Linked DNA regions of Solanum lycopersicum. Each later gene encodes a partner of the first gene's protein in a complex. Links are inferred from orthologs where the notes say so. Each region holds a gene or a part of one and is shown on either strand. Other genes may lie near its edges.

The links.
Region 2: the proteins of NADH dehydrogenase [ubiquinone] iron-sulfur protein 1, mitochondrial (region 1) and NADH dehydrogenase [ubiquinone] 1 alpha subcomplex subunit 2 are in contact, whole or in part, in a cryo-EM structure (PDB 8BED), measured with the Arabidopsis thaliana proteins. The link is inferred for Solanum lycopersicum from reciprocal best matches to the Arabidopsis thaliana genes EMB1467 and AT5G47890. Residues at the interface, in NP_568550.1 of Arabidopsis thaliana: Lys397, Asn401, Arg402, Met403, Gly404, Asp406, Asp418, Ala419, Asp420, Leu421, Arg422, Tyr425, Leu563, Asp564, Gly566, Gln570, Arg679, Lys681, Ser682, Val683, Pro685, Asn686, His689, Glu692, Glu694, Pro695, Ala696, Ala697, Phe698, Ser701; in NP_199600.1 of Arabidopsis thaliana: Lys12, Glu13, Arg15, Leu17, Leu18, Gln20, Arg29, Val32, Glu33, Tyr36, Lys37, Lys40, Ser41, Lys45, Leu46, Pro47, Ile48, Leu49, Ile50, Arg51, Glu52, Cys53, Ser54, Val56, Trp61, Arg63, Met66, Gly67, Glu69.
Region 3: the proteins of NADH dehydrogenase [ubiquinone] iron-sulfur protein 1, mitochondrial (region 1) and NADH-ubiquinone oxidoreductase-related protein are in contact, whole or in part, in a cryo-EM structure (PDB 8BED), measured with the Arabidopsis thaliana proteins. The link is inferred for Solanum lycopersicum from reciprocal best matches to the Arabidopsis thaliana genes EMB1467 and AT3G03070. Residues at the interface, in NP_568550.1 of Arabidopsis thaliana: Pro167, Leu168, Asp169, Cys170, Pro171, Ile172, Met198, Lys199, Arg200, Ser201, Val202, Val203, Asp204, Val214; in NP_566191.1 of Arabidopsis thaliana: Ile69, Ala71, Pro83, Ile84, Glu85, Phe86, Ile87, Cys88, Asp90, Leu91, Lys98, Tyr99.
Region 4: the proteins of NADH dehydrogenase [ubiquinone] iron-sulfur protein 1, mitochondrial (region 1) and NADH dehydrogenase [ubiquinone] flavoprotein 2, mitochondrial are in contact, whole or in part, in a cryo-EM structure (PDB 8BED), measured with the Arabidopsis thaliana proteins. The link is inferred for Solanum lycopersicum from reciprocal best matches to the Arabidopsis thaliana genes EMB1467 and AT4G02580. Residues at the interface, in NP_568550.1 of Arabidopsis thaliana: Val203, Lys205, Val225, Ser229, Gln235, Asp236, Leu237, Gly238, Ile239, Leu240, Gly241, Arg242, Gly245, Glu246, Glu247, Gly249, Thr250, Tyr251, Val252, Glu253; in NP_567244.1 of Arabidopsis thaliana: Asn33, Tyr34, His35, Leu36, Val90, Met93, Ala103, Ile105, Arg106, Tyr108, Glu109, Thr112, Phe113, Tyr114, Ser115, Arg119.
Region 5: the proteins of NADH dehydrogenase [ubiquinone] iron-sulfur protein 1, mitochondrial (region 1) and NADH dehydrogenase [ubiquinone] 1 alpha subcomplex subunit 6 are in contact, whole or in part, in a cryo-EM structure (PDB 8BED), measured with the Arabidopsis thaliana proteins. The link is inferred for Solanum lycopersicum from reciprocal best matches to the Arabidopsis thaliana genes EMB1467 and AT3G12260. Residues at the interface, in NP_568550.1 of Arabidopsis thaliana: Trp361, Arg362, Leu365, Ser621, Pro645, Thr646, Ala650, Arg651, Asp652, Trp654, Lys655, Ile656, Arg658, Ala659, Glu662, Val663, Asn671; in NP_566416.1 of Arabidopsis thaliana: Lys120, Thr121, Phe123, Leu124, Phe127, Tyr128, Thr129, Ser130, Asn131, Tyr132, Phe133.
Region 6: the proteins of NADH dehydrogenase [ubiquinone] iron-sulfur protein 1, mitochondrial (region 1) and NADH dehydrogenase [ubiquinone] iron-sulfur protein 4, mitochondrial are in contact, whole or in part, in a cryo-EM structure (PDB 7AR8), measured with the Arabidopsis thaliana proteins. The link is inferred for Solanum lycopersicum from reciprocal best matches to the Arabidopsis thaliana genes EMB1467 and FRO1. Residues at the interface, in NP_568550.1 of Arabidopsis thaliana: Gly61, Gly62, Ala63, Arg64, Val65, His66, Lys87, Gly88, Phe89, Thr90, Gln93, Glu96, Val97, Asp101, Arg104, Tyr107, His108, Ser109, Leu111, Ser112, Ile113, Ala135, Gln175, Glu178, Cys179, Asp180, Asp183, Asp266, Lys288, Ala289; in NP_201560.1 of Arabidopsis thaliana: Ile55, Tyr57, Ser58, Pro59, Ala60, Arg61, Thr62, Ala63, Thr64, Gln65, Ser66, Ser68, Leu71, Val79, Thr81, Leu82, Lys83, Glu85, Thr92, Asp103, Lys126, Lys128, Lys129, Asn131, Thr132, Pro133, Leu134, Leu135, Lys136, Val137.
Region 7: the proteins of NADH dehydrogenase [ubiquinone] iron-sulfur protein 1, mitochondrial (region 1) and NADH dehydrogenase [ubiquinone] flavoprotein 1, mitochondrial are in contact, whole or in part, in a cryo-EM structure (PDB 7AQR), measured with the Arabidopsis thaliana proteins. The link is inferred for Solanum lycopersicum from reciprocal best matches to the Arabidopsis thaliana genes EMB1467 and CI51. Residues at the interface, in NP_568550.1 of Arabidopsis thaliana: Gly115, Asn116, Cys117, Arg118, Leu121, Lys129, Pro130, Ala135, Met136, Pro137, Lys153, Ala154, Glu156, Gly157, Val158, Glu160, Phe161, Leu162, Met164, Asn165, Arg194, Phe195, Glu197, Met198, Arg200, Ile219, Gln220, Ile239, Gly241, Arg242; in NP_196470.1 of Arabidopsis thaliana: Gly225, Ala226, Gln243, Lys245, Leu248, Pro250, His399, Glu400, Ser401, Cys402, Gly403, Gln404, Cys405, Thr406, Pro407, Arg409, Glu410, Gly411, Trp414, Met417, Ile418, Arg421, Met434, Glu437, Val438, Lys440, Gln441, Ile442, Gly444, His445.

What each region holds. Positions count from the first base shown.
Region 1 is NC_090810.1:5,106,024-5,109,956, forward strand, and holds the start of NADH dehydrogenase [ubiquinone] iron-sulfur protein 1, mitochondrial, read right to left. Parts: upstream 2,801-3,933; 5' UTR 2,599-2,800; coding exon 2,193-2,598; intron 1,109-2,192; coding exon 862-1,108; intron 1-861. Other genes in the region: nicastrin, read right to left, coding at 3,406-3,670.
Region 2 is NC_090805.1:49,614,993-49,618,326, reverse strand, and holds NADH dehydrogenase [ubiquinone] 1 alpha subcomplex subunit 2, read left to right. Parts: upstream 1-1,140; 5' UTR 1,141-1,342; coding exon 1,343-1,428; intron 1,429-1,531; coding exon 1,532-1,638; intron 1,639-2,536; coding exon 2,537-2,640; 3' UTR 2,641-2,834; downstream 2,835-3,334. Other genes in the region: protein yippee-like At3g08990, read right to left, coding at 863-865. UniProt on the Arabidopsis thaliana protein: Accessory subunit of the mitochondrial membrane respiratory chain NADH dehydrogenase (Complex I), that is believed not to be involved in catalysis. Complex I functions in the transfer of electrons from NADH to the respiratory chain.
Region 3 is NC_090802.1:56,164,211-56,168,342, reverse strand, and holds the start of NADH-ubiquinone oxidoreductase-related protein, read right to left. Parts: upstream 2,801-4,132; 5' UTR 2,738-2,800; coding exon 2,591-2,737; intron 1-2,590. UniProt on the Arabidopsis thaliana protein: Accessory subunit of the mitochondrial membrane respiratory chain NADH dehydrogenase (Complex I), that is believed not to be involved in catalysis. Complex I functions in the transfer of electrons from NADH to the respiratory chain.
Region 4 is NC_090808.1:60,905,153-60,909,362, reverse strand, and holds the start of NADH dehydrogenase [ubiquinone] flavoprotein 2, mitochondrial, read left to right. Parts: upstream 1-1,410; 5' UTR 1,411-1,545; coding exon 1,546-1,611; intron 1,612-1,706; coding exon 1,707-1,739; intron 1,740-1,840; coding exon 1,841-1,906; intron 1,907-2,924; coding exon 2,925-3,041; intron 3,042-3,407; coding exon 3,408-3,485; intron 3,486-3,581; coding exon 3,582-3,687; intron 3,688-3,840; coding exon 3,841-3,887; intron 3,888-4,210. UniProt on the Arabidopsis thaliana protein: Core subunit of the mitochondrial membrane respiratory chain NADH dehydrogenase (Complex I) that is believed to belong to the minimal assembly required for catalysis. Complex I functions in the transfer of electrons from NADH to the respiratory chain.
Region 5 is NC_090800.1:36,265,460-36,269,707, forward strand, and holds the start of NADH dehydrogenase [ubiquinone] 1 alpha subcomplex subunit 6, read right to left. Parts: upstream 2,801-4,248; 5' UTR 2,610-2,800; coding exon 2,397-2,609; intron 1-2,396. UniProt on the Arabidopsis thaliana protein: Accessory subunit of the mitochondrial membrane respiratory chain NADH dehydrogenase (Complex I), that is believed to be not involved in catalysis. Complex I functions in the transfer of electrons from NADH to the respiratory chain.
Region 6 is NC_090801.1:69,719,192-69,723,470, reverse strand, and holds the start of NADH dehydrogenase [ubiquinone] iron-sulfur protein 4, mitochondrial, read left to right. Parts: upstream 1-1,479; 5' UTR 1,480-1,694; coding exon 1,695-1,859; intron 1,860-2,766; coding exon 2,767-2,855; intron 2,856-4,279.
Region 7 is NC_090801.1:65,985,258-65,989,250, reverse strand, and holds the start of NADH dehydrogenase [ubiquinone] flavoprotein 1, mitochondrial, read right to left. Parts: upstream 2,801-3,993; 5' UTR 2,655-2,800; coding exon 2,652-2,654; intron 1,565-2,651; coding exon 104-1,564; 3' UTR 92-103; intron 1-91. UniProt on the Arabidopsis thaliana protein: Core subunit of the mitochondrial membrane respiratory chain NADH dehydrogenase (Complex I) that is believed to belong to the minimal assembly required for catalysis. Complex I functions in the transfer of electrons from NADH to the respiratory chain.

The DNA.
Region 1 (3,933 bases):
GCTTAAACCTAATATATATTTGCTATACTCAATCTCTCATACATGTTCTGAAGTTTTTTTAAAGCTGTATTAACAAAGAGGACAAATTTTGAGGTTTATCAGTGGAAAGGAATAACTCAAGAAGGCAGAAGCATGTCAGAGATATGAAAGAGCCAGTGGCAAATTGTTCTGTTGTAGGGTGATATAACCACAAAATATGAATGTTAACATCCCACAAATTATGCAGTATAGGAGTGAATTGGGGACGATAGACCGGCAATTTCTGCTAAGCTATTGGCACTTATAACATGCCAATGTCCACGAAAATCATCACTCCCATCTTATCAGGCTACCTCTTCATTTTATTTTACTTTTTGGGGGAGGGGGATAAGGTATTAGGCTCTCTCTTCTTCTGACTATTCTTAATTAGAAATCACATGCACAAGGGACGAGCATTCAAATGATTTCCTGCTCTAACTTGCAAGTTTTTCTCATGAGATTTGGGGAACATAAAAAGATACAATATTGACGGTTGGTTATGTTACATCAAAAAGTTGTGCATACGATTCAGATTCAGGATGCAGGTATGTAAATATCCAGTATACATCTGTACCCTTTTTACCCTTTTTTGCTATTTTTTAATCTATTATAAACCTGCAAAATGTAACTATACTTGAGTGACACCAGTATCAAGATACATCAATGCACATGAAGCATCCGTGTAGCATGGACGGTTCACGGTTGGCCTGCCACACCTTAAACAATATTTATCAAGTTTTGGTTTAAGGTTGATTTCTAAACTTCCATTTCCATGAGAAATTGAACCACACAAATTTTATGTTTAGCAAAAAGCACTAGGATAAGTAAGGATCAAACACAGACCTTGTACACTGGATGCACCGGGTCATCACAGTCTTCACCAATGGACCCAAATTCTTGTCAACCACAGATCTCTTCATTTCAGTGAAACGCCCGCGGTCGGATCCAAAGGCCATAGATTGATCCTGGAGATCACATTCTCCTCCCTGATCACAAATTGGGCAATCAAGTGGATGATTCATAAGCAAGAACTCCATAACTCCTTCACGAGCCTTTTTGGCAATAGGTGTATCTGTCTTGATCTTCATTCCTGTAAGCGTACCCTCCAGATAAATTTGCAAGACTCGACACTAATGTAAATCCAAGGAACAGATGGCAAACCAAAACAATGAAAAATGCCAATAATAACTCAACAATAACTACAAATAGGATCAGCCTTCATGAAAACTATAAAATGACAAGCAACAATGAAGTAAAGTGAAATGCACAACAGGTCAAGATGTTACTAACCCAAAGAAAATACCTACAGAATATTGAAAATACCAGCTTCCCATAATTCTTCAGAAAAGGGAAACTGAAGAAAATAGAAACTTGTGTTTTGACAAGACTCAATCAACATTTCTGAAGTACTGATACAATGCATGCAATATCACCACTCGGACTCTCGAGCAAACAAGCTCAAATGAACATATCATTAGCCCATAATATATGGTTTGGTTAACTACAGCTGTAACATGAAAAGACTTTACTTTTATGGTTTCTTTTTCCTAGGATCAAATGACCGGCCGTTTACTGTTGACTATTAATGCAGCTATAGAATTGCACACGCGGGGACTCTGTAGATCATGAGTTTGATGCATATACAAAGCCTCTTTTGCAGAAATGCAATGGTAATACTTCAGTTGGTTCTCAATTAATACAACTATATAATTGCACACACAGGGACACTGTAGATCATGAGTTTGATGCATATACACAGCCTCTTTTGCAGAAATGCAATGGGGATACTTCAGTTGGTTCTCCATTAATACAACTATAGATATGCACACATGGGGTTTCTGTAGTTCACGAGTTTGATGCATATACACAGCCTCTTTTGCAGAACTTCAGTTGGTTTTCAATTAAGACAAGCAGCACTAGTCCACTATTACTACTCAAAATAAAATCTTTCACAAGAACATGATTACCATTACCATCCTATATAGTCTACTTCACTTAAGCACCAGTGTTAATTTGGAAAGCTCTCTTTTTTACCATAGGGAGTCCAAATAGAACTGAATGGATATTGAGGATAGATAAAGCTAACGTTTTTGAGAGCTTAAATAAGCAATTAAAACATTAAATTGAGCATAAAAATACAAATACAAATCTAGATCAATAAACTATGGCGATACCTGGAAGTGCAGGCATGGCACAAGAAGCAACAGGCTTAGGAGATTTCTCAACCTCCACAAGACACATTCTGCAATTTCCAGCAATAGAAAGTCGGCTATGATAACAGAATCTCGGAATGTCAACTCCGGCAATTTCACAAGCCTGAAGCACAGTCATACCCTTAGGGATTTTGACCGGGTACCCATCAACGAAAACCTCAATAACATCATCCGGATTGGGTAAATGAACTCGAGCACCACCAACTGGGTTTCTCTTCGGAAGATCTGATGGTGCGTCCGCAGCTGCTGCTGCGGCGGCGGCAGCATCGGCGTTTTTGAGCTCCGGCGTGGAGACGATGGTGCGGGTAGAGTTTCGAATGATTCTAGAAGATCGTAGGGCTCGAGAAGCGAGTAACCCTAATCCCATTGCGATTGATCTTCAGTTATTCGAATGGAGAAATGGAGAGAGTAAATTTGTTTTTGGAGTGTGGAGAGCAGATGTGCTACGTTTTTGTTTCCATGGAGCAGGGAAATTTGATTGGGGATGGAGTTCGGGTCGGGTTATGAGATTTGGGCTTGAAGTAAATGGGCCTTTTAGTTTTTGGGCGTTCAAATATACCCGAATCTCCAAAATGAGTGAACTTTTAATTTCGACTTATTTACATCAACGTCATAATCAAAATCAGAATTTGTTGAACTTGGAGTTTCGCTCATAGGATACGTAACGAATATTATTGTAAATCACTTGATTTTAAGAACGGTGCTTATGTGATTGATGTATACTCGTGGCTAATGTATAGGTTTGGTAAGTTTAGTCTATGATATGAAAAAATTCAGAGTTTGAGGTAACAGACTTAGGGACATATAAGTACAACAACAATATACACAAATCTAATCCCATAAATGAATATAATGAACGTAAATCTTATCTCTACCTCATATAAGAAGATATGAAGAGATATAGATATTCGACTTAAAAGGAAGAATATGCAAAGAAAGTGAATGATGTAAATGACGTGTTAGAAACTTCAAATATCTCAAAGCTTGTAATTTTTACACATCAATATCGTTCACAACGGCGATGACAATTCTTCGCCCTGCAGAGCATTTTCCGTCTGGCGTTTTAAGGAGTAATAACAGCGAAAGAATTACATTTTCCTTCTCGAGGATGTGTGTTTACAAGCAATCAGAATGCTATTGCACCAAAAATAAGTTTTTATCAAGAATTTCTAAGCTAATCTCGTTTTAGGGCCTTTGTAATGAAGGCTTTTGAAATTACTATGACAATGTATGACAAAACTGTGACAGTTATACCTAACAACAGAACCAACAGGTCAAATCCACTGTCCTGGACTGTGTAGACACGAAGCCTTATTCTATCCCAGTTACTCTCTGTCCAAACAGGGTCAGCTTCTTCCATGGTATCGGAGGAATTATGAGGTAACACCTCCCAAGTTTCGTACTCGTACTTCAATCGAGTTGAGTATGCTGGGACATACCTGTTACATGTGATGGATAAGTTCAAAGCAAGAGCATGTGTAGCACTAAACAGCTACAGAGTATCAAGCAACATAAGTGGTGTAAGTTTATATTACAAGGATAGACTGAAATCCAGTTACTGATCGACAGAAGCATATACACTGAAAGTCAACAATCTTCATAAGCTTTTTTTTTTTAGGATACTCCAGAGTTACCCTTTGCCTTGTTTTGTTGGAACGAATTGGTAAGCTGACTTAACCGTCTATTTTTATCAGCTAATGGA
Region 2 (3,334 bases), on another chromosome or scaffold:
ATTGAGAAGAGATACATTTTTACTGAAAAAATCAATTCTTGAATCTTGAAAGTAATTTCTTACCATTAACAATAATTAGATGGACATAAATATAGTTAATGTTTTTTTCTTCTTCTATTCACTTCACTTGTGACAAATAGAATTGCAGTTTACCTATGTCACTCTTGTAAAAGTTTCACTAAATCTTTTTTTATATATATAAAAATAATAATTTGGCGGACATGGCAGTTATAATTAAACATAATAATTGCTAGATCAAAGATTATTTACTGTTGAGATTAAATGAAAAAAGACTAACTGAGAATGGTTCTTTTATATTGAATTTGCCGCTCTTTTAGATTGAATTGACATAAATATAATTAATGTTTCTGATATTCTTTTATTCACTTTACTTATGAAAGATAAAGCTGCAGTTTAATCATGTGACTCTTATGAAGATTTGACTATTAATTATTTTTTGTTATAGCATACATGCGCCTCATATGTAGTCTACAATATTGATCAAACTTATATTTAAACGTAATAATTTCTAATCGTAAATAATAGCTTTAAGTGTAGTAATTTCGTAATTATGATAATTAGTAATATCATAGGAATTGTAGGTCACTACATAAAAAAGATTATAAAAATAAAAGGTTAGCGTATGTGCCCTTCGCACATTTAGTCCATTGTTATGATCAATTTTTTATTTAAATATTCAATGTAATAATAAATAATGTACCTTACACAATAGAGTGAGAAAAGAGAATAGAGTAGAAAGAGAGGATTGAGAAGAGGTACTTTTATAGTGAAAAATCAGTTCTTGAAAGTTAAAGGAGGAATATAAGAAGAACAATCAGGGTTTAGAGGGAATAAAACTCACCATTTCTTTGGCCTGGTCTCAGATAAAATTTGATGGAGACTTCCCAAATTTGCAGAAAAAGAGGGTTGTTTGCCTAGTAGACTTGCCCTTTTCAATTTCTACGATCTTTGTTTTTAGTGGGCTGGTCACTTTTGAGCCAGTGAATGTAGTTCTAGATTTCTAATTTTAATTATAAAATAAAGACCCAACTGGATCTAGATATGTATATTTTTGCTATCTAAATGAAAAGAGAGCCTCACAAAATTTGTTATATATATCAAATATATATGAATCACACTATATACGTCTATTTTGTAATAACCACACTTGGCCCAATGGACTGGTTATCCCTCGGAAGTCCAGATTCAAAAAAACTAGCCCACCCTTAGTATAAGGTTAAATTCGTCAATAAAATTCTTGAGTACAACCGCTAAAGCATAAATCACCGTTTTTGGTTTATTATACTTGCCTAGGGATAGTTGAAGGTGAATTTGTGCAACAATGGCGTGGAGATCAAATCTCTCTCGGAACCTGAAGGAGCTTCGCATCCTCTTCTCTCCATCCTCATCTGAAAGTGCTGCGACTAGGTATTTTCACAATTTTTATGAGTACTGCGATGAAATGTAGTTGATTGATTGATTGATAGAGTGATAAGTTAATTCCGAGTAATTTGTTTCATCTTTTATGTAGGGCGTTCATTGAGAAGAATTACAGAGATCTCAAGACCCAAAACCCCAAATTACCTATTTTGATTCGTGAGGCCAGTTCAATCGAGCCTCAGCTCTGGGCGAGATATGGTAATTATTTCGGTTTTCTTATACCTCTGCAGAATCTTACCCAGCTTTGCATATTGAAATTCTGATTACTCAATTCACACACAAAAAAATTGTTCCTTTGCGTTTGACTGGTAGCATTTTCATTGTTTTTGTTACATTTTCATTTTTCCTAGGTCCAGCTTAATTGAAACTTATAAGCAGACTTTTGGTAAATAACCTATTAACATTTGATCAGGTAAGGGATTGATAGAAATCTTATTCCTAAATTGCATAATGAAGTTCACATCAAAACAAATAAGCACGAAGGAGTCATATGCGACTCTAAAGAAATATTCTATGATGATGTAACAGATGTAGTGAGAGTGATTAAGATTTGAGTATAATGAATTGACTTGTAAAATTAGGTCTGACCTCTAGTTCCAGGGGAGAAGGATTGTTCAAGTCTTATAATGAGACCACCCATCTCATTAACGTAAGACTTTCTTCATTCTTCAAATGGACCTTACCGTGGTTAGGCATGTAGAATATCTCGTTTTCTCATAATGATACTCAATCCGTTCTAATTTTATATATCCTTTCCTCTTTGGGATGTTTCCAGTCAAGCCTATCCACTCATTTGTTCTAAACCAGAGTTTCTAGTTTCAAGATCGTGCTTTTAGTAAGCGTGTGGTGAGATGTTCCAAGCATGGTATCTACTGATTTTGCCATTGCTATGATTCAAAGGATTCACCGTTATTTGACACCATTGCAAATGTTTGCTACGTTCTCCTATGGACAAATTTGATGAAGTGTAATTTTCAGTTTTCTTTAAAGTCAGTATATTTCAAATCTGATGTAGTCAGTTGTTTTGAGTGATCTTTACCCTGTTCCTGTGGTTTGAACTTCTATTCATGGATTTTACTTTTTTAAATGCTTATAGACCTGGGAGTTGAAAGGGGCATCAGACTGGAGGGATTGACCGAGGAGCAAATCTCAAAGGCACTTGAGGACCTTGGAAAAGTAGGGGCATCCCTTAAATCTTGATGGCATTGGATCTGCAGAATTGTATTTCTTTGCATTCAGCACTTTGTAGAGTTCTGTCCTCACATTGTGCTTTCTAAAATAATCTTTTGGTGCAAGTTATCATGAATCAAAAAACCGTTCATAAACCTGGAATCCTGGGTATTTTGGCTTTTATTTGCTGTTGAAATGAAAATGTTTGAAATCGTTTGTTGCTAGCATTAGAAGTTTAACGTTATTCCTTCTATGCATTTAATCTTGTTGCGGTTGAAAATTTTGTAGTCCCAGTTTGTTTCTTGTACTCTTATAATGTGAGTTGACTAATCTATGCGTAGAGATAGCACTTAGGCAAATGAAAAGCTGCTAGCTATATACTCCAATCTTGTGTACTAAGGTAGAAATGAAATCTGAAGAAGAAATTGATCTTCAATTAAGGAATTTCCAGGAGGTAAGCCTAGATTTATAGTCTTGACTCATGAGTTTGAGAGAATTGACATGTTTACAATCTTCCTCTTTACATATAAAGAGGAGACAGTATAGGAAATATGGGAATTCTGCCCTCTGCCTGAAATATTGATATTTAAGCTCTGCAAGTTTCACCCACTCTTTGTTGAGCAACTGCTAGCACCAGTAATGCTAATGAAGAGATCTCATTTTTAGTCTTGATAAGCAGAATAGCTTGACTACAGGCAATTCCAAACTCCCCAATATAAGCCTT
Region 3 (4,132 bases), on another chromosome or scaffold:
TGGTGTTTTAGAGAGACGTGGAAGCCGGCAAACTGTAAGAGCCAATATCTATCTATGAGGGGCAGACTAGTTCGGATTAACACTGTACTAAATGCAATGCCTACTTATATAATGTCTTTATTTTCAGTTCCTGTAAATGCAGCGAAGAGAATAGATGCACTAAGAAGGAACTTCCTTTGGCAAGGTACCGATGACAAAAAAAGAACTCATTTGGTCAAATGGAGTACTCTCACTACCACTAAGAAGGAAGGGGGAATCAGAATTGAGAATCTGAGAGTTAAGAATAAAAGTTCAATGATGGGGTGGTTGACATTTGTTGCAGAAGACGGATCACTATGGAAAGATGTAATCAAAGAAAAGTATGGGATAGAAGGACAGTGGACAACCAATTCTGTGAGTGGTCCTTATAAACTGTCTTTGGAGGTCGATCAGAAATCTTTAGTCGAAATTCATGAACAAGTCCAGCTTCAAAGTAGGAAATGGAATGAATATACCTTTTTGGGAAGGTAATTGGTCAAGGATCACTACAACAACTTTTTCCTGATCTTCACAATCTGAGTCAGCAACAAGCAGCAACAGAGAGAGAGGTATGGGAAACTAAAGGATGGAACGTAAGCTTCAGAAGACTACTACATGATTGGGAGATTAGCAAATTAACTAAGTTTTACAGTACTTTGGAACAATTCCAAAAGACCTCTACTGCAGATGACTACATGATTTGGCAAGGGAATAGGCAAGGCAAGTTCTGAGTTAAGTCAGCTTGTAAATATTCAACCTCTCAAATAATCAAATTGGATATTAGCCTTTGGAAGAAGATAGAGGAACTTCCAAAAAAAATTTGCTAGCTTTACATGTCTTTTGACAAAAGAGCCATTTTTGACACAAACCAACGTTACCAAGAGAGGATACCAGTTATGCTCTAGATGTTACTTACATGGAGAGGAGGCTGAGGCAATCAATCATCTCTTTTTACATTGTGAGTTGACAGTTCAGTTATGGAAGATATTCATCAACTTAAGGGGTTTTATGTGCACTATGCTAAGGAGAATACCTTTAGTTCTCGCATGATGGAACGGAGATGGCAGCCTTTCTGATCAGGAAGAGTGATGAGGTTGTCCCAACGTGTATTTGGTGGATACTTTGGAAGAGAGAAATCAAAGATGCTTTGAAAATAAATCCCTTAACATCAAGTAGCTAAAATGAGCGTCTAGTCCTTTTCTATTTTTGTGTGTAAGCAAGAGTACTTAAAAGACCTTGTATCTGTTTTTGATGTTCAAGAATCCTTGTGAGAAGACAAAGGATTAGAAATTCTTTTCTACTCCACACTATTAATATGAGTGTCTACAGAATTTTTGAGTAGTTTATTTTATTCACACATAAATATCTTACCTTCTAAAAAAAATAGAACAAAGAAATACCAGAAAGTCTAGACAAAAAGTGTTCTTTTAAGAAAGTGAACATATTTGTAACAACCCAAAATAGTAAGTAGAAAATCAGATATGGGATGCACTTCCTTTTTGAATAGTTTCTATGAAAATGTTGTCAGTGTTTTCTCAATTTGCGGTTTTTCCTTTTGATTGTGTGTTCTACCTTCCAATGGCTTCACTATTCCACTTTCTCTTCACACTTATGTTTTAACGGCAACACAGATGTGGGGTGGGGTGACCTCTTAGTGCCATGATTTCTTTTTCACTGGATCTTTAATCTTGACAGGTTATTTTGTTCAGTTCTTATTTGCAGCATCTACTCCTTAGGTGCATTTCTGCTTTGGCACAATCTTGAAAGTACCAAGAGATGATCTGATTTCAGCCCAGCACATATCCTGACTTAAATTCTACATACACTCATATGCTTTTACTAATGTTTAATTCGTCTTTTAATCCCACCAATCCTTTCATATCAGCAAAGAAGAAAAGATTTGAGGATATGCATGGATATCTGTTCCCTTTTTCCATATTTGTATTGTTCAAAGTCCATGAAACATACTGATATTTTTTAGTAATAATCATGGTATTGTTCTCTTGAGCTATTTTAAAACATTATTTCAAATGCAATTTCTCCATGTGATATAAACAAATTGCATACTTTTGGTATAACACGCAATACTCAGCATTCATTCCCTTTGCACAAGATATGAAGTCCGTCCTAAAAGGTGGGAAAATCCTAATCCTCACTTGAGAGATCAATTTTCACCTTCACTTATACCTTTATCCTTGTTATTTGTGCCAAAAAAATAACAGCTCTGCTTATCAGATTCTTCTACAACCAAACTTCCTAGAGTATCAAACTACATATGTTTCTAAAAAGAGATTTTAATCCTATCCTCCTTGTGTCTCCAAATTTGGAAATTCCTTATGAAGCAGTCCACTGGAGAACAAACACACACATCTTTAAAGAAGATGAATATATTATCAATAACGAAAACCGTGCGACAAAAACAGCGTAGAGAAGAATAGAGTAGCTAATACATATTTTAATTTTTGATGATCCATAAGCTAGGGCATCACAGCAACGATGACGATGAGTACAAATCCGACCAGAAACATCAATAGAAAAATAGAGCACGAGGTGAGAAAAAGGAGAATCTAACCTGCATCCATTTCTCTGTATGAGAGGTGATGACCTCGCTGCTAGCAACGCCGCTGAGACTTCTGGTGTTGGACCGGACAATGGAAGATGCTCCGGTTAGGGTTTTGAGGAGATTGGTAGCCATTGTCATGCCTTGTTTTGATGCCATTGATATTTTGCCCCAACGCTAAAATTCCCACTGCTATTCAACAAATGCGATTTAGCCTCCCTCGACTCGGACCAGATCTTGGTTACTACTAGTTCTTTTCTCTTTTCTCTTTTTTCCTTTTTCCGGTTTCTATATATATAATTTTTATCATCAAATTATATTAACTCTCCAAAAATAAGTAAATTCTACTTATTTATGCAACATAGTGATTTTTTTAGTAGCTTTCACATATTAGTATGTTATATCAATTAATTGCGCTACACAGTAAACATAAATATGTATATTTCGCTATATATATACAAAAAAAATAGTTATATAATTCGCTATATATATATATATAAAGAAACCAGTTATATAATTCGGTATATATATACAAAAGAAACAATTGTATACAAAAGATCAATTGAATAATTTGCGTGTGTATAAAACGAGAAAGATAAAAGAAAATTGGGCAGTGAAATATTTGTATTGTATAATTATAAGTGTATATGACTAAGATATATGTATTTGCGTGTGTATATACAATTTTTTTTTTTGATTTATACAAACAGAAATGCAATTTATATATTTTCGTTTTTGTTTGTATAAGCGAGAGAGGCGAGCGAGATCTGGGAGAGTAGAATAAAAATATATGTATACATACACTTTTCTCTCGCTTTATACAAACACAAACGTATTTGATACATTTGTGTTTGTATAAAAAGCGAGAGGAAGCGAAAGTTTGATTAGAGAAAGGCGACCAACAAATAGTTTGTTACCGCCACAATTAAATTAAAGTATGGCTAAATAATAACTATATCTAAGGAATAAGCTTAGTCCGACTTAGCACTACGAAATATTTTTTTTCCTGTATCGTTAGGGGAAGAAAGAAATACAAGAATGTGAAGTTCCACTTAAGACACTAGGTTCAAACGCATAAATAAAGAAACGAAGAATTTGCAAGACATTTAAATAAAAACTAGATATACAAAATTACTTATACTCGGTGTCAACGTTTGTACATAAAACCTAAATCATTTTTTGATACAAACTAACTGCTATTTACACTCCCTCATCCTTCTCAGGCTTTCAAAATTGGTTCGTCAGAATCCACCATATTCGCGACTTGAGAAGTACTCTGTCCAGTAAGAAGATCATCAACACATCAGATACTGCCTTAGAGCAGTGTGACAGACATTGCCAAACTCAATGTTGCATGTTATTCCAACCGATCAACTCCTTCTCATAGTATTAGCTTAGCTCCAGCCTTGCTGGTATGACCTTGGCACTGCTGCATCCACGCGAGTCTAAGCACAATTGCATACTTGATATGACGTAGTTGTAATTTGGCATTCAGTCTCATCCCACCAAGAAGTACGTTAAATGGTCCAGTTTTCTAAAGTCTATGCTGATGAA
Region 4 (4,210 bases), on another chromosome or scaffold:
GGAAAAAGAGTGGGAGAAAGGTGAATTGTATATGTATATCGATTAGATAATTGTATATTATATATTTGTATTTGTATTTTGTATATATGGCAAGCGAGTCTGAGAGAGGGAGGAGAGAGGCGAGCGAGTCTGGGAGAGGGAGGAGAGAGGCGAGCGAGATTGGGAGAGGAAGGAGAGAGGCAAGCGAGTCTGGGAGAGAGAGGAGAGAGGTGAGCGAGATTGGGAGAGGGAGGAGAGAGGCGAGCGAGATTGGGAGAGGGGGGAGAGAGGTGAGCGAGAGAGGACAGAGAGTGGAGAGGTGAATTATATTTGTATATAATTGTATATTATACACATGCATTTGTATATAGGGCAAGCGAGATCGGGAGAGGGAGGAGAGAGGCGAGCGAGGGAGGGAGGGAAGAGAGCGAGAGAGAGGTGAATTATATATATATATAGGTTAAATAATGTATATTATACACGTGTATTTGTATATTATGGCGAATTATACATATACAAACATGACTAGCTATACAAACTCGAAATTATAGCAAATTATAGCTATGATGAGTAATTAAATAGTATAAGTTTGATTTGTTGCGTAATTTTTCCTTTGTAAAATGATGCCCAAATCAAGCTAGTTACCAACCCACTATGAATTGGGATAATTGTATAGAATGACAAACTAATAATATAAAATAAATGTAGTAGCTACCGTTTGATTTATTTGTGTTTCATAGCAAACTGTTTGTCAGTCCCTCTCTCCCTCATATTCTCGCTCGCCACTCTCCCTCTATCGCTCGCTTCCTTCGCTCGCATCTCTCGCTTTATACAATATAATTGTATAAATCGTGATTCTAATTGTATAAAGCGAGAGAAATTGTTTATACACATGCAAATACATATATCTCTGTCATATACACTTATAACTATACAATAAAAGTACTTTTCTGCCCAAGTCTCTTTTGTATCTCTCTCTTTCTCGTTTTATACAAATTCAAATTGTATATAATTTTTATCTTTCTAGTTTTATACAATTCGATTTAATTGTATATTCCCTGCCCAAGTCTCTTTTGTCTTTCTCCCTTCCTCGTTTTATACAAATTCAAATTGTATATAATCGTCCTTTACACTTATAATTATACAATTCGTTTTATACAATTCTCCGTCAAGTCTCTTTCTTTCTTGTTTTATACAATTCGCTTCAATTGTATATGTATAGCGAATTATACGTATATATATTTGCTATAAAACACAATTATACAAACCTTGCTATAGCATACAAATATAAATTTTATATTTGCTACATGTGAAAGTTGCCCATCGCATTGACCAAAGCCCAAGTAGCCAAACGTATTGTGGCCCAACGATACGAGAGCCCAAATATAGTCCTCATAAATTCTAATGGGCCTGCCAGTTTAAGGTCTTCATCAGGACACGCGAACAAGGAACGTGTGTGTGGCACGCAGAACATTCATAGTGAGACTTCCGATTTCTCCCTTTCCTCCCCAAAATCTCCATTTTCTCCGACCACCGTCTGCTCGGAGCAATCGCCGGAGACTAAAAATGTTCGGTCGACTCGCTGCGCAACGTCTGAACGAGATCCGAACGTCCATCCGCCGAACTACTCAGGTCTAATCCTCGTTTATGTGTTTTCCATTTCACTTTGATAGATTGGTTCTTCCTTCCTTTTAGTCTAAATCAATTATATTTTTTCTGTTTTACAGGCATCGCGATCTTTTTCCACTGCACTCAACTATGTGAGTTGTTATCTAATTGTAATTTCGGAGTTTAGATTCGAAATTTGAGTATTCGATTGCGTGTTTATGTTTTTATTTGTTTGGATTTTTATTATACGCAGCACATTGATACACCGGACAACAAAACGGACCTTCCTTGGGAGTTTAATAATGCAAACAAGGAAAAGGTTAGCAATGCTTATTATCCTCCAGAATACTTAAGAGCTAATTCTTTGTCATATCACTTGCAACATTTTTTTAGAATTTACATCAAAAGTTTGAATTTTTGCTATTGCTATTCTGTTTTTCTTTCAATTTATGTGTGGAAATTGAGAGCTCTTGTTACCAGGATTTATGACATCTCCTTTACTGAATGTTTCAAACTTTTCTGAATCAGAATATAATTTCTTTGTATGTTTTGATGAAAATGTATTCTGCTCTAATCTATATCTGTACTATTATCTGTGTAAGCTATTTAGGTGCCTATCTAGGCTTTGAATATCTGAACTTGGTTGAAAAATTGCATAAAAATTATCTTGGCTGACTCAAGTTTTGAGCTTGTCTGCGAAATGAATAACAGCCTTTGAAATGATCTACCTTACACCATAAATTCAAGCTACATCTGTATGAGAAGATTGTCTAAATGAGCATTCAAACTTAGTTTCTCATTTGAAAATGAATGGGAGAAAAGTTATTTTCTTAAAAGAACCTAATGATCAAGTCGCTTCTCTGCATATCCAACCTAAAGAGAAGATTGGAGAAGGAATAAAATGTGGAGAGACAATCACAAATAAAAGGAAAATACTTTCAAAGATAGTAGGGTGATTAATGTTGTGGTTCAAGGCCAAATACATTCCCTGTTTGTTGCTTGGGCCTATTTTCATCATGTTATTCAGTAGCGCTTCTGATGCATTGACTCCAAAATTGTAAAAGTTAGAAACATCTTCTTCTATAGCATTCTTCAGCAGAGGTCATAACTTAATTTTTAGAATTTACTAATCAAAGAAAAGTATAATACGAAGCTTCCTGCATCATAGAGATTTTTGAAATGGATTTTGAATGTTGATTAGCTTCAATAATCCAATTTCAGAGGATTACCATAGTAGTGTACTTACACTGAATCCATGCATCTCTTTAATTGGTAGTTCTTCCGTTAACAATTTTATCGTCTATCTTTCCTACTTAATCCTCTGATGCAATGTGCAGGTGAAAGAAATACTGTCTTTCTACCCATCCAACTATAAACAATCTGCAGTGATTCCTTTGTTGGATCTTGCACAGCAGCAAAATGGAGGGTGGCTACCTGTTTCGGCGATGAATGCAGTATGTTGACACTGTTCAGATTGATTCTTACTATTTGCATTATTATAAAGTTTGTCCTGGTGATCAGCATTATTAACGGTTACCACTTGAATTTTGAAATTATTTGGTGATCTTCTTTACAATTAATCAGCATTTGGTTGCTAGAACCAATTCAGCTTTAGTTCTTGCCATAATTATATTTGTGTTATTTGGCATGTGTACTAACTTGATTTTTGTATTACCATTACCCCTGTTTCCTTTGTATACCCTCAAAGTAAGCACACTGCAAGTTGCCGTTCCTTATTAGGGGTTATTTGTTATATGATTTTTCTGCCTATGTCAAATTGGCATTCAAAAGCACCTAACCTAGTCTTCTAAATGCTTAAGGTGGCTAAGGTTGTTGAAGTTGCGCCAATTCGTGTATATGAGGTTGCAACTTTCTACACGATGTTCAACAGGACAAAAGTGAGTAGTTTGTCTTGACCTTTGGCTTGTGCAAGTGCAGGAAATTTAGAACCCATCTTTACTTAACATAGCTTACTCAGTTTCTTGTCCCTTTAGGTTGGAAAATATCACCTTTTGGTTTGTGGCACAACACCTTGTATGATCCGTGGTTCAAGAGGTATCGAAGAAGCTATACTGAAGCACCTGGGAGTAAAGCGCAATGGTCAGTGTTTTATGGAGGTCTTTCCAATTATTTTATTAGCCTTTTTAATAGTCCTAATAATCCTTCTTGATGAAAGAATAAATAAAATAGCCTTAATAATCCTATCGTTGAAACATGTTCTTATTCTGGTTCATGACTTATTCATGTATGCAGAAGTAACTAAGGATGGCTTATTTTCTGTTGGTGAGATGGAATGCATGGTGAGTCATTTTTCATACATCTATTGATATTGACCTTGATTCTATTTGGTGGCCTTGAAAGCATGTCCTACATGACCGCTTTTGTGAACTATTTGTCTCATTTACTTTCCAAACCTAAGATCTGATGTTGAGATTGGTGCTTGTTATGCTCAACTGTTATGCAATAAATCACATGACCATGATTGTGCGTTGTGACTGATAGTAACTAACTTAAGGAGTAGAAATTGGCTAATCTTTAGTGTTGGATGGCTGGAACTTTGGTTGATTGTATCTTGTAAGGAAAATCTACTAAGACACTAGAGATATTCTCAGTTTGTGGCCTT
Region 5 (4,248 bases), on another chromosome or scaffold:
AGGCTGAAGATGGCCGGAAAGAGGGTTCTCCCATCCTAGAAAAGTAGGAGAGACAAGTGTTGGGGAATGTGCCTGGGAGAAAAGTTATTTTGTCTTCAACAATACATCTTTTGTCGGCTCTTCTCAAGAGCAGAAGTGTTTTTAGTTTAAAAAGTGCATTTAGACTCTTCAAACAAAAAAATGGAACTCCTTTTGGAAAAACCTTTTAAACACTTCCACCAAAAACTTCTTCAATTGTTTAGGGAACTTCTTATATCCAAATGCCTCTGAATTTTTTTTTAATAAAAACATCTTTAACCTGGGAAAAAGAGAACCTCTCGAAGTAAATCCATGACAGACTGTTTGGTTGAGAAACAGTTCTTGCAAAACATTAGAAAGTTTTCTGCAAGAACTCTTCATTATATTTTTGAAGCAAACGCTGCCTTAATATTTGACTCTTCTCGTCCCCTAGGAAGAATAGATTCTTTATCATTGGTTGAGAATGATCATTATATAACATTGCCTGCTATTTTGCTTGTATCCACTTCCCAAAGAGATGATAAAATACTAAAATCAAGAGATGCAATACAATCATAAAGCAAGAATGAACCAAGCCCTGGGAGGCAAGTAATAATAAAAGAGTTGTTGATTAGAAGATACCACTCAGAATGGCATCACGAGGATGCACAAAGAGTAGCCGGAACTTGTCTGTTGGCTTATTAACAAGGTCTTAATCTAAACAACAAAATAGCCTAAGCTTATTTTGTAGGCCAGCAATTACTTTTGCTAAACATGAATCATTTTTCTACTGAGTATATGTTTCCTTACTACTGGCAGAGAACATTGAAAGGCATCCAATAGGTTGGCAACAGGAGATTGGATGGGCCGTTACTTAAGCTAAGAGAGAAAAGGTCAAAGCAGAAGTCAATATGTTGGTATTGGGGGCATGTGTTTATCATACATGAAAAGAAGGAAACCAGAGACAATTCCAAGGAAAGAGGAGTACAAAGCAGCAGGTCAGTCGAAAGATCGAGCAGGAGGTTCATATCAGAGGAGCCCAATGTGCAAAACAAGCAACACAGCTAACAGTTGAACTATTATCCTAGTTGAGTGAGGCTGTAATAAGATGTAGTAGATGAGAGGTTAAATAGGCAGTTTTGATTAAGTTTTTCTAAAGCCTTTTGTTATTTGGCTCTTAGGTTTTTGCACATGCACAGATTTTTCCCTATACACATAGTTACCCAAAAAAATGTCTTCTTACAAGGAAGAACAGATGTAGACACATTCAATGTAAGGTGGCAAATTTTACTGTTTCAAGACCTTAAACCAGTCCCTAATCCACAGTTTTTCAGTTCTAACATCAGTCCAAGCCCATATATGACCTTGGTCCATCATAAGTAGCTGGAAATAACTAAATCTCATGATATTAAATAATAAAGTTCAAGTAATTCGACAATTAGTATCTCCAACTAACTAATTTAGACGTCATCAGCCATCTAAACAAATTAATTTCACCAAAACCTGATGTAGCAGTAATAAGTGTAAGAAAAACTCAAACATGATTTTGATCCAAATGAATAATCACCAAATTTATGGCGTGTCAGCACAACTACTTAATTGCACTTGAATCCTCTGTCTATCAGTTAAACAAAAGACTAAGATTTAAATCCTATATTTGAATCCAATTCAAGACCAACTTTAAAATAAAGTTAATTCAGATTAGCACGATTCTTAATTCTCAACTTCAAATATTGAGCATTAGCATCTCATTTTGGAAATTCCTATTCAATAAAACGCACAACTGCAAAGAGAAATGATTTTTTTCTCAAAACGCTGTAAATCTAATCTCTCTTCAAGAAAGATGTTAAGAGGAATGTCCATTTCAATTGTATCATAACGGTGGAATAAAAGTCCAGCAAAAAATCCATCTTCCAGCGCCTATTCCTAAATCCTCTTCCCTCACACCCCACCCCTCCCCTCTCCATGAATCAACACAAATCAACAACATCAACATAGCCCGTGAAATCCTACAAGTGGAGTTTGGCTAGGGTACAGTGTACCATACAGCCATACCACTACCTCATGGAGGTTCTGAAAGGTCATAGCTTTCTCACGAATTGCAAATGTTAAACAAAATGCCACAGTAAATCAGAAGTAAACTAAAAAACTTTTGTACTCGGATTCAATTTTTTCTTGGTCTTTCTCTTTCCAGAACAAAAATATTATCGCACAATCTAATCTAATCAAACTCTGCTCCACCGTAATTTCCAATCAGATTACTAAAAGAAAGCATTCAATTTTGAATACCCCAATTCACAACAAACAAGATTTTTTCCAATTGAATCGGATATCGCCTAATTCAAAAGCAAATTAGATTTCAAATCCGAAAAGGAAGAGGTTATATTTCAGATTGATACCTTAGGGTTAGTAATATTGGCATTCTTGCGAACTTCGGCGGCGGCGGCAGAACGGAGTTGGGATGGTGTAACGACATCGTGCAAGTTGTAGATTTCCATTACATGAGGGATGGATCTACAGCACATACGGAAGAATTCAAAGGTCCGAGTGCGAGCTTCTTCTAAACTGGCGGAGTTTGGTGGCACCTTGAGACGCTTCAGTATTTGGGACATGATTTCTTTCTGCCTTCACTGAACAAGTAAGAAATAGCAAAACTATATTGAGTTAAAGGCTTGAGAAGCAAAGGGTAGTTTGCTATATACTTTGGTATTATAGTTTGATATAATTTCGAAAAACCTCCCTTTTTGTTGGCCTTATAATATTTACTTCTCTTTTAGTTTTAGATATTACATTCACGTACCTTATTTGAAATTTTTATAACCAAACTTATTTAATGACAAAAAATTTCCATATTTCGTAGTGACCTCCTGAAATAGAAAATATTTCGTAGTTGCCCTTTCTGGGCGTTTTAATAAAAACTAAATTGTGGGAGATATTCTACTCATCAAAAATTAACTTTATATTTGAAATATTCACTTAGACGATGTAATAAGTTGCACAACTTGATAATTGCTATTAAGATTGGCACCGGATCGGGTTGTACTAGTATTGGTCCGGTACCGTTTCGATACCATTCCGGTTCGTTCCGATCCGGTGATCTTCAGGACGGAACGGGACACCTTGAACCGGTATATGAAACGGAGCGGTATCACATACTGGTGTACCAGTACTAGTTTATATCGGTTTATTCCGATTCCATTCTAATTCGATCGTATTTCAGTTTGATTTTGATTAATTATTTTTTATTAATTAATTTATATTTTTAAAAGTTATTTCCCACTGTCAGAGTTGACAACTTTTCTGAAAGGCTGAAAAGCCTGCTACCCGCCTGCACCCTGCCAACTGTCCCATCTCGATTCCCATTCCCGATTCGACATTCCCCAATCCCCAATTCTCCATTGGTCATTGTTTTCTTTTAAGAAAATATTAGCGTTCAATGTTGACAAGTCGTAGTTCAGGTATAATCTTATCCATCATTCATTGCACTCAAAAATCTATTAAACATATCATTTATCCCTACGCCCTAGCCTGCCCCATACTTTAAAACCCTCCACGCACCGATGCATGACGCCGCCCGTCACACTCATCCTCAACGCCCCCATCCCATATCCTAATGACGTCTCAATCCGAACGTCGTATCTGCAAAAATAAATAAATAAAAATATTTTTCAATTACACGACCGATTTTGAAAAAAAGGAGGGATGCAACACAAGGACTTCGGAGGGGGTCACCCATCATAATACTACTCTCGTTCAAGCACGCTTAAGTTAGGAGTTCTGATGGGACCCGGTGCGTTAGTGTTGGTATGATCGCATCCATCATTCATTGAACTCTAAATTCAATTAAATATAGCCTTCATCCCCGACGCCCTAGCTCGCCCCCTACTTTAAAATCCTCCACGCACCGACGCATGACGCCGCCCCTCACGCCCATCCTTAACGCCCCTAACCCATATCCAAATGACGTCTCAATCCGAACGTATTTTCTGCAAAAATAAATAAATAAGTATATTTTTTCAATTGCAAGATCAAATTTCGACAAAAAGGAGGGATGCAACATGAGGACTTCTCAAGGGGTCACCTAACCTAGTACTACTCTTGCCCAAGCACGCTTCTCTTCAGAGTTCTGATGGGATCCGGTGCATTAGTGCTGGTATGATCACATCTATTATTTATTGCACTCTAAATTCTATTAAACACATCCTTCCTTCCAATGCCCTAGCCCGCCCCCAACTTTAATACCCTCCACGC
Region 6 (4,279 bases), on another chromosome or scaffold:
GGGAGGGAGGATCCGCCAGAGAAAATGCAACACGATAGAAGAGTTCGCTCCGCCGCGTAAGATCCTCGAATCAAAATCAACCACGACTACTCTCTACGGTCCATTTTCGTTCTCTTCCTTGCCCGGGAAGGGGGATCAAAGAAAGATAGCTTGCTTCTCTCCTAGACGGAAGACGACTTATGTAGTGGTCGACCTTCCTACCAGAATGCTTCCTTGGTCGAAGAGCCCCTTTACCTCTAGCAATAGACAAAATAGATTGCTTTTATTTTTGTTATTTTTTTGGCATTAAACGTCCTTTTTTCTATCGCTGCTTCAAAATAAAAAAAAAACTGATCAACTTTTACTCTCGACTTATGAAAAATAAAATAATTTTCATAATCTTGATAAATAGAGTTATATAATACATGTTACTAATGAGAGGTAATAAAATATTTCGTGAAATTATTTAAAGTGCACGAAGTTGATTTGAATTTTTAATAATAAAAAAAAAAGATAAATTACCATATATTTAATGTTTAAATGTGTATTTAAGCAAAACTTATAGTTTATATTCAATTTTGTGAGTGATAATTTTATATATTTTATATTTATACAAATTTTAATTTTCCCATCTTATAATTTTATATTAAATAAAAAATACAATAATAAACTTTTAATTATAATTTTTATCTTAACACACTACACTCTTATAAAGGATAAAAAATCGATCTATTAAGCTGCCTTGGAATTTTGTGCTTTGCGATAGTATGGATAATATAACATTATTTTTATGGTCATAGCTCATAAGTAAAAGATCGCTGTTATTTAAAATTTAATTTCAATTATTCAAATAAGTGAACAAATTAAGTGAAGTTTTTGTCTCAATAATTAAATTAGTTCATATATGTGAGTTAATAGGACGGTTCAGTTGGTTATTTTTTAAGAAATTATATCATCTTAATTTTATTTTTACGATTAAATTGTCATCTCAATCATATTAGTTTCTTTTCAATATCGGTATGATTTAATTAATTTTCGTTTTTTTTCTTATTTTTCAAGTATCACCTCAAAATATATTGTTTTTAAATATTTTTCAGGTATATTTTTAAAGAAATACTTCACTTCTTCATCAGATGTCAAGAATATAAAATGTTGTTATCGTGGTGTTTGATCTTAAAAATTTAATAGAAATGCTTGCATGTTTTCTGTATCTAAGACGTAAGTTATATTTATATATTAAATTTAACATATTAGTAACATATAAAATATATTTACATACATGTGAGGTTATTAGATTCGAAAAATTATCACTTTTTTTAATTGAAAAGATCATTTGAATTATTTGAGACAATTATACACTAAAATAAAAGTCTACAATTATTAAAAAAGTGATAAAAATTCATTGGATTTAATTTTTTATATTCTTTTGATACCCACAGATTTTGATTTCCCCTTCCCAAATTTTTCTTTTAAATTAAATCTATACTTGAAATTAGGATCAAAATTAAATATTTTTTGTATCTCACCTGAGCACTATAGTTTTTATATAATTATTCGCCTAAATACATCAGAGTACAAAATACTCGTATGTTAGCAAAGTAATGTATGCGTGAATTTATACGAGACATACGCCACATCACCGTGAAAATAAAAATACAAAGGGCAAAGTAATATCTGGCTTCATCACTTCGGCCGGATTCTATCATCTCAGGCAAATGGCTAGCTCTCTCCGACGACTAGCGACGCATTCCTCTCAAGCCGCCTGGCGATCTTCTGTGACGCCGCTATGTAGACAATTTGCGTCAGAAGCGTTGGTCGAAATCAAGCCCGGAGAGATCGGTATGGTCTCTGGTATTCCAGATGAACATCTTCGTAGAAGGGTATAATTTCTTTTCTTTATGTCTCTTCGCTAATATCTATTATTTTGTCAGGTCATTTAGGTGTATGAAAAACTTCATTGTAGGTTACCAATTTATTAGGGCTTCTATAGCAGATCCATGGGTTCCGCTATTTAGGGTTAGCAAATGATTTGGGAAATGGATATGGAGGATCCATATAGTTAGAATCAATTGATTTGAAATTGATATAGTTGATTGATTGCTTTTCATTTTTGCCTTTGTGAATTTATGTTACCTCTAATCCGAAGACTATTCCTTTTTAGCCCTCCTTTTGTCTTCCTCGCTCCTATTCAATGATATAGAAGAGACCATAGCTGCTTAGACACTTGTGACAAGTAAAAAGTTGTAAGTTTTCATGGTAGGGAGTAGTTTCTGCTTGGCAAGTATTAAGTTGAACTTGGACCTTCTAGAGCTTGAATTGATAAGCCTTAATATCAGACCCCAGCTTGGATTAATGCAAACTTTTTCCCCACGGAGGTTTTTCATCCATTTCTGCACAAATTTAGTTATATAGATTTCTTATCAAATCTATAATCTGATCTATATCATCTATACGAAGCTGTTTACACCAAAAAAGTAGAGATAATTCACATTTATTTCTCTCTATGTTCGTGTCTATTATTTTATTTATCCCATATTTTTCCTTTCATGTGCATGGTTGGTTTGCCCTCTCTTTCAATTTTGGTTATATACAAATGTATTGGCTTGTTCAATTTCTTCAACTCTTATATTCTCAAATTTCTTGAAGTGTTTAAATGTGCCAAATGATCCTAATCTTTCTTTTAGTACATATATTTTCTGTCTCTTCATGTGGAAAATTGCTCTCAGTTAGTGGATTAGATCTTATGCACCATGCCCCTTTTGGTAGTTAATAATGTTTGCTCACCAGGTTGTGATTTTCTCTCCTGCTCGGACTGCTAGTCAACAAGGCTCTGGAAAAGTTGGCAGATGGAAAATCAATTTCATGTCTACCCAGAAGTATGTTTTTGGATATCTTCCTTTTCTTTTCATTATTAAGAAGTTAGCATGGTTCACCAATATTAGTCTATTTTTAGCCAGCACAAAATCCTGCAGGACTTTGTACAGTAATTACAATATACAAACTCATCTACCTTATCCTTCTGTCCTGTACTAAACAAGAAGAAACAAAGAGAAAACCTTAAAGAAAGTTTTGACAAGTATAGATTATAAGTTTTTTTTCCCGTTAAAAGACTATAATTTTAATTGTGCCTAGGTCTCAAAATACAATGTTTGACTATGAAATTTGGACCACAACAGGTTGTTTGGTTTGTGAAGGTTAAAGAGATTGTGAACTTATTTTCCTCTAGTGGTTCATATAATTATAGAGATCTGGACATTGGTGTCTTCCTTTTTATCTACTCCCTTTGAACCATTTCATATGTCACCGTTTGACTTGGCATGGTGCTTAAGAAAAAAAGGACTTTTGAAATTTGTGGTCTAAAACAATCTTAGAACATTTGTGTGACCTTAAATCATTTCATTAAGGTAAAAGGGGAATTTTAAATTAAATTGTTTCCAATTATAGTAAGGTGACACTCTTTTTGGGACGGACTTAAAAGTAAAGGGTGGAAAGGGTTCCACATAAAATGGGACTGGGGAGTATCATTTAATACAATGTTGGTGCATCTGATTATGGGGTTTTTTTGGTCGTGGAGGGAGGTAATTAGGAAGGTATATTGGTTTTGACAACGCCAAAACTCTCGGGTTCATAAAAAGAAATTACTAATAAGAGTCCAGAGTTCTTCCTATGCTGTAAAGATCAATTATTGATTAACTTTAAACTTCAATAGAGAATGAACCCCATTCATTGAATTCAGCTTAGCCAGACGGTGTTTCTTCGAGTTTACTTAAGTAGAAAAATTGCTGATTGTTGATGAAAAAAATGTATATTCATATCAGAAGATGCTGAGAGAGAAGCACTCATAATTTATGGCCATGGTAAAAGTTTTGTACTCTCCTCTATGCGAATCAAACTATTTTATCCTGGGTAATTTCATGGATGGTCATCCAACTAAAAATCTTAGTGCACCAAAGCTATAAAATTAATTTTTGTAATGGAAAATGACTCTTAACTATGCGCAAATATCACATTAAATAAAAAACAATAATAATGCTAGAATCTGGTCATAGAAAACACAAGTAGGTTGCTAAATTGTATGAAATTTCTATACAAGTACAACCACGTCAGCAACTCAACCCTTAGATAATATCTACGTGGTGCTACCTAAATGAACAATTTTTTTCCGATCCAACTTACTACCCGACATCTTTACTGTGTGAGCCATCATTTTTTAGGACAGATTTATATTCTTGTAAGTGGTGTCACGTGGATATTATGTAAGATTAGTTGCTGAAATGACAACCTACTTGTGTTTCCAGAC
Region 7 (3,993 bases), on another chromosome or scaffold:
TTAGATGAATGTTTTATTAAGATGATGATTCATGGTTACTATCAAGTATCAAACACTACAATGTAAATGTAACAAAAGTTTAAGAACCAACCTCATAAAAGAATCAAGCAGCAGCTGCCTGTTGTAGCTCCCTCTCTGCATGCTCCCTGATCCTCCTTTCTAGCTCTGGTCTAAAGTGCCTAATAAGACCCTGTACTGGCCAAGCAGCAGCGTCACCCAAGGCACAAATAGTGTGCCCTTCAATCTGTTTTGTCACCTCTTGGAGCATGTCAATCTCTTCCAACTTTGCATTGCCAACCTTCATTCTTTCCATGATCATCCAAAGCCATCCTGTGCCTTCCCTACATGGTGTACATTGACCACAACTCTCGTGCTTGTAGAAGTACGAGAGCCTTGCAATTGCATCTACAACATCAGTTGACTTGTCCATGACAATTACAGCAGCAGTTCCCAACCCTGACTGCACAGCTTTGAGTGCATCAAAATCCATAAGTACATCCTCACATATGTTCTTGGGAAGCAGTGGAACAGATGAACCTCCTGGTATAACAGCAAGCAAATTGTCCCATCCTCCACGCACACCACCACAGTGCCTCTCTAGCAGCTCCTTCAATGAAATACTCATTTCCTCTTCAACTGTACAGGGCTTGTTAACATGGCCTGAGATGCAAAACAGCTTTGTCCCGGCATTATTCTTCCGGCCAAAACTAGCAAACCACTCTGGACCACGCCTTAAGATGGTTGGTGAAACAGCTACTGTTTCAACATTTGTAACAGTTGTTGGACATCCATATAGTCCTGCATTAGCTGGAAATGGAGGCTTCAATCTTGGTTTGCCTTGTTTGCCCTCAAGGCTCTCCAGAAGAGCTGTCTCTTCACCACAAATATAGGCACCAGCACCAAAATGAATATATACGTCAAAATCATAACCAGATCCACAAGCATTTTTCCCCAACAATCCAGCTTCATAGGCTTCTTGTCTAGCCTTCTGAAGGCTCAACCTTTCATTCACATACTCTCCCCTGATATAAATATAAGCAGCTCTAGCTCTCATCCCCACTCCTGCAATCAGACAGCCTTCCAACAACTTGTGTGGGTCATGCCGCATGATTTCCCTGTCTTTACAGGTTCCAGGTTCACTTTCATCAGCATTGACGACAAGATATGAAGGACGGCCATCTGTTGTCTTTGGCATGAAGGACCATTTGAGACCAGATGGAAAACCAGCACCACCACGTCCTCGAAGACCAGATTTCTTCATTTCATTCACGATCCAGTCAGAACCCTTGATGACAAGATCTTTTGTTCTGTACCAATCTCCTCGCTTCATGGCACCTTTGAGGTAAGGGTCATGCAATCCGTAGAGATTTGTGAAAATACGATCCTCATCTTTAAGGCCACCAAAGTGAGTCCTCTCGGGAGGTGGGGGTGGGGGTGTAGGTTGGGGAGTGCTAGCAGTTGATGCAGCCTGAGTGCTAAATAACCTACCATATTGGCCCCATCTTTCACTAGAACGCTGAGCTAATGCAGTTCGTTGTAGAGAAAGAAGGCCCTTTATAGGTGCCTGTTAGAAGAACATGCCACACATCAGTAATTTTAGCCTCATAAGAGGCGAGACTGAGCAAGCATAATTACAAAGGTAAAAGATTGTATTATACTGCACTAAGCGATGGGTCTATGCATCATGATTGCAAAATACTCTCTTTTTCTAGGAGACCAACCACAACACAACTCTTTTCCAGGCTTTAGATGGGGTACACTTTGCTAAACTCACCGAAGCAGAGTTGATTGAATAGAAACATAAGATCGAGAGAGTAACAGTAACATTTCCAAAAAAATTATTCCCAAAATAGATTGTTAATACCTGATGCTAAGGGAATTGCACAAGAGGGGAAGAAACAAAAAGAATACCCTCCTTTTGATGTCTGGGTGGGGGAGGGGAGGAAACACTTACGCAAAACATCTCTAACTAACTGTTTTCAAAGTTTAGGTACTAATTTAATTTACATCTACCTCTCTAAAATAAATACATAAGCCTTCCGAAGTAATAGAGTATGAAGGTTTTCTTTCCCTGAAAAAAGAAGCTTACCTTGAAAGAGCTTAATTCAAAGTACAGCGGAAGACTACACTAACTCCTTATTAATCTATATACATATAACTCATTCTAAATTACAAAGTTGAAAACACACACAAACAAAGAAAAGAAGCTACGGAGTCTATGAATTAAAGAGTTCTGATAAGGAGGTTAGGTTCAAAATATGAACTTGCATAACTTATAACATACTCCAATCTAAAAAAATAACCCATTTTTTTTCAACGAAAGCAGATCAATGAAGCAACACCTCTCCTGAATAACTTATCCAGGAATCAAAAAAGATCAAAAGCAATACCCACATGTGCTAGCCAAATAAAATTTAGGGTTCCTCATCATTCATCTTTCTAGGAATACCATGGCCATTCGAATCAGTTAAAATTAAGCCACATCTCTGAAAATATAAATTTGCAATAAATATCCTATGAAGAGTACCAAAAGAGTAATCAACGAACAAACCGAGGACGCATCAAAATGCACGTAAGGCGTATTCTCACAACAAATTTTCATTTGTATTTTGGTGGCGCAAAAAAATTACAGATCGAAGATAGGGACTTACCATGAATATTGAAGCAGAAATGTGATTAATCGACGAAATTCAGCTGATTCTCCAGCAGATTAGGGTGAGATTGAAGCTCTCTTTCTCATAAAAATAAGAAAAAAATAAGGGAAAATGAAGCTGTTGCGATTTGTGAATCATGACGGTCCACGTAGTGGGCTTGATGGGTATGAAATATCATGATGGGCCTTAGTGTTCAGGAAATGTCGTAATGGGCCTTAGTGACACCAAAGTTAAAAGATTTATCGTCTGCCATTAATGTACCAATATGATCGAAATATGCAAAAATCATGTATACCAGTGATATACATTTATCGTCTGCCATTAATGTCCAATATATACCCAAATATTATATTCTTTCCCTATTTTAAAAGTTAACAGATATAGCTTGAAAAATTACTCTTTTGGTTAATGTTAGGTTTGGATGTGTACATAGACAAAATTTAAATATCATCTAAAAACAAAGCCATTAGTGCTAATGAATCCTCAATACACACGCGTGTGTTAGAACATTTGATAATAAATTGTTCTAAATGCGATAATAATAATCGTAAGAGTGGTGTGTAAATAATTTATTATTATCGTAAAAAAGTAAGATGTTGTTTTTGCTAAAAACTCGACTAAGCTAAAACATATAAAAAAAACTAAGACCAATGCAGAGAAAACAACAAATAGTAGTAGAATTGAAAAATAAGTTAATAGAAGAGTAATGATAACGTAGTATTTTAAACAAGAGACATAAAATTAAACCATACATGTGCTTAGAATCAATCCTTGTTCGATACTAATTTTATTTTTAATTTTTCACCGGTGTTTATATTCACATTGAAGTCCAACTAAATTTAAATTCGTGCGGAAAAATTTTACGTTAAAAATAAAGTGCTCCGTAAAAAAAATGACTATGTATCAACGTTACCTAAATCCACCACGTCTTGATTAAGGATAAATGAGTCCACCATATTTCTCGTAGGTGGTTCAATACTAGATTAACTCTTGGCCTAATACTTTCTACAAGATATAGAAAAACACTATACGGATCCGTGATACATTGTTGTTCATAATTCCTTTGTATCTCAAACTTTTCCCCATTGTTTCAATCCATTGTCATATAAGAACATGTGCAAAGTGTTAATTACTATCTGGAATCCATACAATCTCTCCTTTATGATTGTTGTAAATAGAGATGTTGTTGTTGACAATGATGGCAGCTCAATTATATGCTTTACCCATGCCTCTGTTTCACTAGTACCATTTGAGAATATACTAAAAATTTTATGACGAATGAGGCACAAGTGTTATGTGGTAGACAAAATTTGTATGATCCTTCATTTATTTTTTGACA